Linked DNA regions of Caenorhabditis elegans. Changing the gene in region 1 together with any one later gene gives a genetic interaction. Each region holds a gene or a part of one and is shown in the gene's direction. Other genes may lie near its edges.

Region 1 (3,919 bases):
AGTCCTAGTTATATTAGAACTTTGATCTCAAAATATTGTCTTGGTGATCTTACTCGTTGTTTCCAAATGGTTACTTTTCTAGTTATCTGGCTGGTTAGCCTATTTAACCTCAGATTTACCTCAATTTTTCTTCCCGTTTATTATTGTTGCCTATCAGAAACTGTTTCGATTTTTTCTATTGTATATCCATTATAATTTATCACATTTCCTCTCTTATCATTCTTTAATTGTCTTCAGTTTAACTGCCCATTTGGCAATACTTTTTCATCTTCATTTTTTATTGTTCTTGGCTAAGAACTTGTCATGTGATCTGTTCAGAATCGCAATGATTATTGATTTTTACCTGATTCCTTGACAAGTTCCCATTATTTTTTCGTTCATTTTTGTTGTTTGCATTATTTCTATCGATATATCTCATTGATGAAAAAGCCAGCAAAAAAGAGCAAAAGAGAGCAATAACTCCACTAAATGAGAAAAATAAAGTAAAAGAATACATAATGGCTGTGATCTCGAAAAAAAATCAGCGAAAGAATAAAAGACGGGCCACTGAAAAGTGAACGAGTACAAAAAGAGCCCCTCCCGAGTGACGAGTAAAAAACGAGTTAATTTTCAATAAAACACAGGTATTTTTGCGGAAACCGGTGTGTTTTCGTCGTATTTAGCCGTGAATTGCCAGAAAATAAATGATTTTAATTTTTTTTTTCTTTGTTCTTTCTTAACTTTATTCCTCCAATTTTTCTTGCTTCGACGTTGCAATCGTCACATTTTATCTTTGATTTGATCGTCATTTCATTTATTTCCGAATTTGAACGCAAAAAGCTCGAAAATCAAGGTTTGTGACTCCTAATAATTACTGCAGAAAGTAAGAAATTCTCGGCATTTTGAAAGGCGGAAAGATGAACTATCCTAGATTGGCGCAAAGGCATTGATCTATACTGTCTGCGGCGGCCGGTTTCTATTAAGCTTTCATTTTTCTCCAGCACATTCTTCAGAAGCGCCACATTGCTTTAGTCGGAAATGCGGGTCATCTATTTAGAAAGTTTGGCGCTTTGTATTTGATTTAATATTAATTTTCTCATCTGATTCTATTTATTAGTCACAGTATCTCGTGCTGCACTCTTGTGACACGTGTCCTTTTTTCAGAGTTTTTAATTGCGTCACGATTTTCAAAATTTCTCAACAATGCGCTCGCGTTCAATAGGTTTTTCTTCTCTCAAAAAGCATTTTTCATCACTTTCTTAATGTTGCAGTTTATCGTCTTATCACTCGAAAAAGTTTGTTTCAAAGTTCAAATTTTAGAACTTTCGGGTTCATTCAATCAATCAATCAAGATTTCACTGAAGGATTGAAAGATTCAACGTACGGCTGACGTGGAGTCAGTAGAAGGAACTCGAACATTACTATTCTCGTTCCTGTGTGTATGTGTTCTTCATCCTTCCGTCCTGCACTAGCGGACAAATTTGGACGGTCTCTTGTTCTTTTTCGCTCTCTCCTCATCTCTTGCGGTACTTTCACGTCTCGGTCTCTTCACTTATTGCCATCTATCTCCTCTTATTCGACCGCTGCGCAACGCACGCGACGCGCCCAGCGAACAAGACAAAAAGCAGCGTCGAGAGGTTGAGAGAGGAAGAGACACTCCACTGGTCGCCAGAGACTGCTGTGCTAGTGACACGTTGGACGGTGTAGCCGATGTATTTCTGCTGGATTCTCGCTCCTTGCGCCTGTTATAGATATCCATCTCCTTGCCACGTTTTACCCGATTCTTCCTCCTTCCAATCGTCTTCCGTACTTTTTTCTCCGATTGTCGTTGCTGGCATTTTCACGTATTGGATTTGAAATCTTCCCGAATTTTTCGCAATTTCCCACGAAGATTATTGATTCAGCTTTCACATTTTATTAGCGTTCCTTTTCACTTCCATCGGTTCCTCTTCTGAAATTCAATAATTTAATTTATTAATCAATTTATAGAATGGGAAACGTGTTCGGCAGCTTATTTAAAGGCCTCTTCGGCAAACGGGAGATGCGTATTCTGATGGTTGGATTGGATGCTGCCGGAAAGACTACGATTTTGTACAAGTTGAAGCTGGGCGAGATTGTCACGACTATCCCAACTATTGGTGAGTCATTGGGACGTTTTTTTGTTGCGAAAGAACGGTTCACAATGAGTCATAATTTTTATTCATATTTCAGGATTCAACGTGGAGACTGTCGAATACAAGAACATTTCATTCACCGTGTGGGATGTCGGAGGTCAGGACAAGATCCGTCCACTCTGGAGGCATTATTTCCAGAACACACAAGGTTAGTGATTTACGAGAATAGTTTGCGGATCAGCTTATCACCCGCAAGAATTCACAGACTGTCCAAAAAAAATGCTCTATTGATTATATTTTCTTGCAGGACTTATCTTTGTTGTTGATTCCAACGATCGTGAACGTGTTGGAGAGGCTCGTGAAGAGCTGATGCGTATGCTCGCCGAGGATGAGCTTCGTGATGCCGTTCTTCTGGTCTTCGCCAACAAACAAGATCTTCCACAAGCCATGAACGCCGCTGAGGTCACTGACAAGCTCGGGCTCCACTCGCTCAGAAATCGATCGTGGTATATTCAGGTGAGATATTTTTAATCAGCAGTTTCTCATCTGATATTTTAAAACTAAAGAAATTCACTATTTTTCAATAATAAATTAATTCCAGGCCACATGTGCGACATCAGGAGATGGTCTCTATGAAGGACTCGATTGGCTCAGCAACCAGCTCAAGAATAGATCTTAAATCATTTTTCTGAATCCACCTTCGACGAATAAACGACTACGAATCATCCGTTTTTGTTATTCGTTTCAACTCCTTTCTTCTCCCCATTCATTCTCTTTGTTCTTCTCTGTTCCATTTGAAATTCCCTCTCCCATCCCTTAGGCTTTTTAATTTGATCACCATCGCCCTCTTCTACTTTTTCAACCCAATTTTTATTTAAAGCCCCAATTCATTTGTCGTCTATTTCTTCTTAACTTCCAAATCCGACATTTTTTCTTATCCGATTACATTTGGAACCGCTCCTGACGGGAATAATATGTAAGTTATTCATTGTTTTTCTCTCCATTTTTGACCTGCTCCGCCCTCCATCTCCCTCAAATATTCCCTGAAACAGTGTTGTGTAACGAGAAGAAGTATGAACGTGTTTCTCTTCTCTTGTTGAACCATTATTCTATTTTTGTGATTTTTGCGCGTAATTGCACACAAACCTACACACAAATCTCGTTTTCATCGTTCCCTTCCCCTCGAACCTTTAATTTCGCTTCTCTTCTATTTCGTATCGAACACTGTTTTGCTTTTCCTCAATTTTTCCGTATTATAGTATCATATTCACCATTTTTTTTGTCGTGGAGTAAATTATTATGTTATATTCACCTGTTGATAATGACAATATGAAAGTATGAAAATGATCTTTTTCCTCAATTTGGACAAGAAATGTTAATTTTTAAGGGTAATTTATTAACACATGAGGCGTTATACTATGTGCAAAAATTTTTAATACGGAAAAACTAAATTCTGGAATTTCGTATTGTGCAACTTGTCTGGCGCACAGATATCACGTAGCGAAAAATACAGAAATTATTTACATTACTACTGTAGCCATGGTCTGATTTTGCTTTGTTCTTTTTCACTTTTTGACTCGGAATGACAGAAAAAAGAAAAATAGGATGAAATTCAAATATTTCGGTCACAATTCGAAAATAAATTATGTTCTAAAATCGAGCCCGTAAATCGACACAAGCGCAACAGTAGTCATTTAGAGAATTACTGTAGTTTTCGCTACGAGATATTTTGCGCGTCGAACATGTTGCTCAATGCGCATTCTCAGTGTTCACGTAATACACTGAAAATACAGTAATCCTACAGTGCTTCTAATGTACCCTGATAC
Region 2 (5,012 bases), on another chromosome or scaffold:
AATAAATGTTCGCAGTGCAGTGGTTCTCGTTTTTCGTTTCGTTTCTCTCACTCTTCCTATCTTTTTTACTTAGTTTCCCTATCCGCGACAGTCTGATCCTTTGGTTTTTATTGCCCGTTTAGAACTTATTTTAATTAATTATCCTCTTTATTTTCAATGTTTTGTTTTGTTTGAACTATTAATGACCATTACTCTTTCTAAAGTGCACCCTATTGCGTATTTTAAAAATTTTTTCTTGCAACATACCCACCCTAATGCTCGTTTCGCCTTCCCACATTTTTTCCACCATTTCTGCGTCTCATTTTCTTGCGTGGGCATCCGCGGTCCCTCTTTGCCCGGCGCCTCTTGGATTTTGCTTTTTCTTTTTTTCCCTGGATGTTGCGTCTAGTTTTATCTGAAATGACCTTTAGGCACATTGCTAATCGTATTTCATTTTTTGGTTCCTCAAATTATTTTTTTTGAAAATAATTTTATTTGTCTGATAAGTGATCTTAAATGTAACTGATATTTTTTTAAAGTTGGATTCAAAATGAAAACATTTTCTAAAAATGGTTTTTTCAATTTAATTTTATTTAGTATTTCAGTACTTTCCTTTTTCCATTAATCAGTTGAATAGGAGATGTAATTTTTATTAAGTTTAATTTTACATTTTGTATTAAACTTATTCAAAAATAATTAATTTTTTTCCCTAAGTTAGTCAAAAATATTTTTTAAAACTTTTTTAATACTTTTGAGATAAATTTTTAGATTTTTTATTTCACTTTCGTGATTGTTCCATTTTGCAACATTATTCTGCATCAAAATACATTTTGAAAACATTGAAAGTTCTTCAAATGCCGCAACTCGATTTTATTTTAATTTCATCAATTTTCTTGGCCGAATATCAAATTTCTATCTGAAAATTAACTCAATCTTTTTGTTTTTGACTCAGAATTGAGTGCACCACAACTTATTTTTCAATTTCTTACATTCTCTAAAACCTTTTTTTGTTCGTTCCGTGCTGTTTTATTTCAATATTTCACCAGAAATGCATATTCTTCTCAGTAGGTGCAGTTTCATGTGTTGAGTGAATGAGACCACGACATTTTTTACAATTGTTCCGCTTTTTCCCTCCCCATATGCCATCTCAAATCCAAATTTCAAATGCCTTCCTCTCCAGCTTCTCATCTTTCCAATTTAGCAATTTTTCACGTCAAAATGAAACGAATCAGATTTTTGGTGCTAAGCATTAGGATTTGATGAAACAAACACACTATAATCAGAAGTGACAGATTTTCAATTAAATTTTTAGAGATAAATACATAATTTATCAATTTATGCGTGCCAGCAAAAAGGCAGAAATAGTATGAACAGCAGAGTCTACTTGAGACTAAATCTTAGTTCTACTCATCAACCAAGCGGATGAAAACATGATAATGAAAATGTACTTTTATTTCAGTTTAAATTGTAGATATCCACGCACCAGTTAACCCAGTTATCTGGTTTGTTTGTTTTTTTTTTGCTGGTCGTCAAGAACAACTTTCGATGTAGATAACTTTACCGAGCTTCATTCATCAAAAAACATTTTTTTCCCAATTTTTCGTTACAAGTTATAACTGTATATAATATCTAATCAAAAAGAAAAACTTATTTTATAGAGAAAGTTTTGACGAGATCTGTTTTGCCTAATCGAGATGTTTCAATTTTACAAAACTTTGCTCGCAATCAGTAGATATGTTTAAAATTAGCAGTAGCAAAATTTTTTTTTTTCGACTGTTCCACGCAAAAAAAAAAATCACAGCAGAAAAATGACAAAGTATTCACAAATAACGACCTCCCGTCCCCGTTCTTGTGTCTCTTCCGATCTTTTCTTTTGTGGCTGTTGATCACCAGTGTGTACTTTGGAAACTTATTCCTTGCTATTCCATGTTGCTCAAAATCTTGCTTTACTTGCTTTACAAAAACATAATGAAAATTTTTCAGCGCACATTTCGGCGCAACGGGCGCCAATTAAATGGGCACAAATGGAGGAGTCATTGCGGAACAGTCAATGGAAATCGAAACAAATGAAAACCCAGATAAGGTAGAGGAGCCCGTCGTGAGAAGGAAACGAGTAACCCGCAGGGTAAGTGATTTCTAAAATCTCACGGCTTTAAAAAATTGTATACCGAGAAGAGCCAGTACAAACTGTGTAAAGCAATCAAAAATGTGAAAATTAGTATAAATCGGCAAAAAGGTGAACAAATTGGATATTTACAAGTTATTTATAACAAACTTAAAGTTGAAACCGTATTTATAATTTTTTTCTCATCAGCTAAACAGAAGACCAAAGTATCAATAAAAGCTTGTGGGAATAGATGCAGAATAGTCTTGTAGAAATGACCTTTTTTGCAAAATATATTGCATCATTTTCACAAGAATGTGTTAACATTTATGTTTAAACCTCAGTTATTTTGTAGAAGTTTCGAACAAATGGTATTGAAATTTTCTTAGAGTTGATACTCATCAATTTTATTTAGTCTTAACTTACAAAGCCACTTCAAGCCTATCTACTGGTGTCAGTAAAAAAACACAAAATATGTAGTAACGGCATATCATGGTAGAACAATTTTCAAAATGTTCTCAATTTCATATTTGGTTTGAAAACTGAAAAATTCGACCATTCTGGTACAATCGGCATTATGAAACAATGTCCTCTCTGCAGCTATTTCCCCTTTTCCACTCAAAAATGTGTCGGAAATAAAATCTTACTTTCTAAAGTATTCGTAGAGCTTAAACGTTTAACTGTTATAAGTAACACATAAATATGTCTGCTTCTTTCTCAAAGAACAGCACTGATTTTAGAACGTTGACATGTCATCTTCGGCGGTCTGTGTCTAAATGTTCGATTTGTAGCGATAAGCGTTAGAGTGGCCAATATTTTCTGAGAACAAAAAGGAGTCATATTCTTATCATCTCTTTTCGTGCGTTTTCTATCTTTTGTGTAACCGTACCCTCCCACCACTTGTTAGCAGCAACATTTATTCTCTCTGAATTTCTACATCAAAAGTGCAATTTGGGGGAGTTGAAAACTGTTCGACCCTCCCAGCGCCGAAATCGACGGCTATCTTAACGGGGCGCCGAGATGAAGTAGGCAAAACAGATCATTGCAACAACACATACAATCGCCATCTATACTCTCACAGTGCCATGTATAGTAACTCTTTCCACAATTTCCACAAACTTCCATTCTATCCAACTCCATATTACTTTTCTGCTGTTTCTTACGAAACTCCTATTCAAACGTCAAAAACTCCGGGTTCAGCAAGTGTAATTGATGTTGAAAAGATTGACGACGATGATAAATCGTCAAGCCCAGCAAGTGTAATTAAAAATATCATAAATAATATTTAAATAATTTTTTTTATTTCAGCGCCACAGGCGGATACACAGCAAGAATAACTGCTTGACACCTCCAAACAGCGATGACGACGTTAGTTTGTTATTATGTTTTTTCAATCAGGTTAGATTATTATGACTTGACTCAACCATTGCACCAAGATGAAACTTTTTGTTGTTTTTGTGGTTGGCGGTAGTATTCTATAACTTTAAATTGCTAAACGATTTTCTTTTCTTCAATCAAGAATCTTATTGGATTTGAATTATTGGAGCTACATATATTTTCAGTTCATTGAATTTAATGCTCTATATTTTTGTGTGTATTCAGAAAACATGGTGTTAACAAATGAATATAATAACACTCTAAAGGACATTTAGTTATCAAACTTTAATTCAGTTTTAGAAATTTGTAATAAGCTTCTATTATAAGTTCAAAAAGTTCCATTCTGATCCGATCCTTCTTCTTATTGATTGTTTCTCATCAATTAGTCTTCATCTCTTTTTCGAAGTTCGGCGTATGTTTTGTGCAGCGTTAAACTCACGCCATTTTGCTGACGGGGAATTGTTTAGAAGTGAGTGGAGAGGAAAGAAGAACTGATGTTCTTGAGTGTGATGTGCTCTCAACATTCGAGAAAATGATGAGAGAAATTTCATGTGTTGAAGATACAAAATGCGCTCAAGATAATGGTGGACTTTTACTTCTACATCTAAACGCTTTTTCAATGAAACCTGTACTGGAAAAATTCGAAAGGAAAAATTCTGGAAAAGTCGTTCAGCTTTTACGATACCTGAAATAAATGAACTCATAGTGAGCTCTAGTTGAAATTATTCGGACCAACTAGGTCTGAAACAAAGAAGCTGTATTCTTGCCAACAACGATCAAAGTTTAAAGTCCAGTGTCATCATCGTCATCTTCAATATCTCAATTTTCATCTTCAAACAATCAACCTATCCACAACCTGTTCGGAACGCCAAACTACGGTAATCAGCGCCGGTGTTTTGATAAAGCGATAAGCATAAGTGCTCACACTTACTTCTTACTTACAATTAAATTCGCTTCCTTTTTGGGCCGTTCCAAGGTCAAACGGTGAAACACACGCACCGTACATATACACAGGACGCACTGAAGTTTTTGCTACTGCTGCCTGTTGTGTCGTCGTTCGGCCCCGATTTTTTTAAGTGTGTGTGTTCCATATTACCGCAAAAACTTGGGACCACGCCTCTCACAACACCTACTTTCTCAATTATTCCGAAAACAACAATGAAGTGCTGATGATACCATTCTACTATATACTTCCGGACGTCTATACTTCATTCCGAACACAAAAATCAAAAAATGACACTCGAAGCAAATGTGGCGGCACTTTCGAAATTCATGTCATTCGACAAAATGCTTGCAGCATTACGGGTGAGTAAACGTGAAGATTATTCAAATTGCCTTGAACAATCCAGAACAAGTAACCGTTTTTGACTCATTATTGTAACACTTTTTCTCAATCTTAAATGTTCAAACGTTCAAGTGTTCTTTTAGTTTGCAATTCCCACAAGTTTGGACATGTAGTTGTAAAATGTCAGTCACGCTTTTTCAAAATTATTCAATTAGTGCTCACGAGAATCAGTGAGCACCACCACATGATCTCCTTACACTCATCTCC

Evidence for each region. A genetic interaction does not mean that the proteins touch.
Region 2: of arf-1 (region 1) and daf-12, changing one suppresses a phenotype caused by changing the other (phenotypic suppression), as found in Caenorhabditis elegans (one study listed by BioGRID).

What each region holds. Positions count from the first base shown.
Region 1 is NC_003281.10:5,714,147-5,718,065, forward strand, and holds arf-1 (ADP-ribosylation factor 1-like 2), read left to right. Parts: upstream 1-1,968; 5' UTR 1,969-1,969; coding exon 1,970-2,117; intron 2,118-2,190; coding exon 2,191-2,301; intron 2,302-2,400; coding exon 2,401-2,609; intron 2,610-2,694; coding exon 2,695-2,772; 3' UTR 2,773-3,398; downstream 3,399-3,919. Other genes in the region: rbm-26 (C3H1-type domain-containing protein), read left to right, coding at 1-2. UniProt on the Caenorhabditis elegans protein: Small GTPase involved in protein trafficking between different compartments. Modulates vesicle budding and uncoating within the Golgi complex. In its GTP-bound form, triggers the recruitment of coatomer proteins to the Golgi membrane.
Region 2 is NC_003284.9:10,642,447-10,647,458, forward strand, and holds the start of daf-12 (Nuclear hormone receptor family member daf-12), read left to right. Parts: upstream 1-1,993; coding exon 1,994-2,104; intron 2,105-3,391; coding exon 3,392-3,451; intron 3,452-5,012. UniProt on the Caenorhabditis elegans protein: Nuclear receptor which binds directly to response elements in target gene promoters. Activity is modulated by binding of steroid hormone ligands that include dafachronic acids.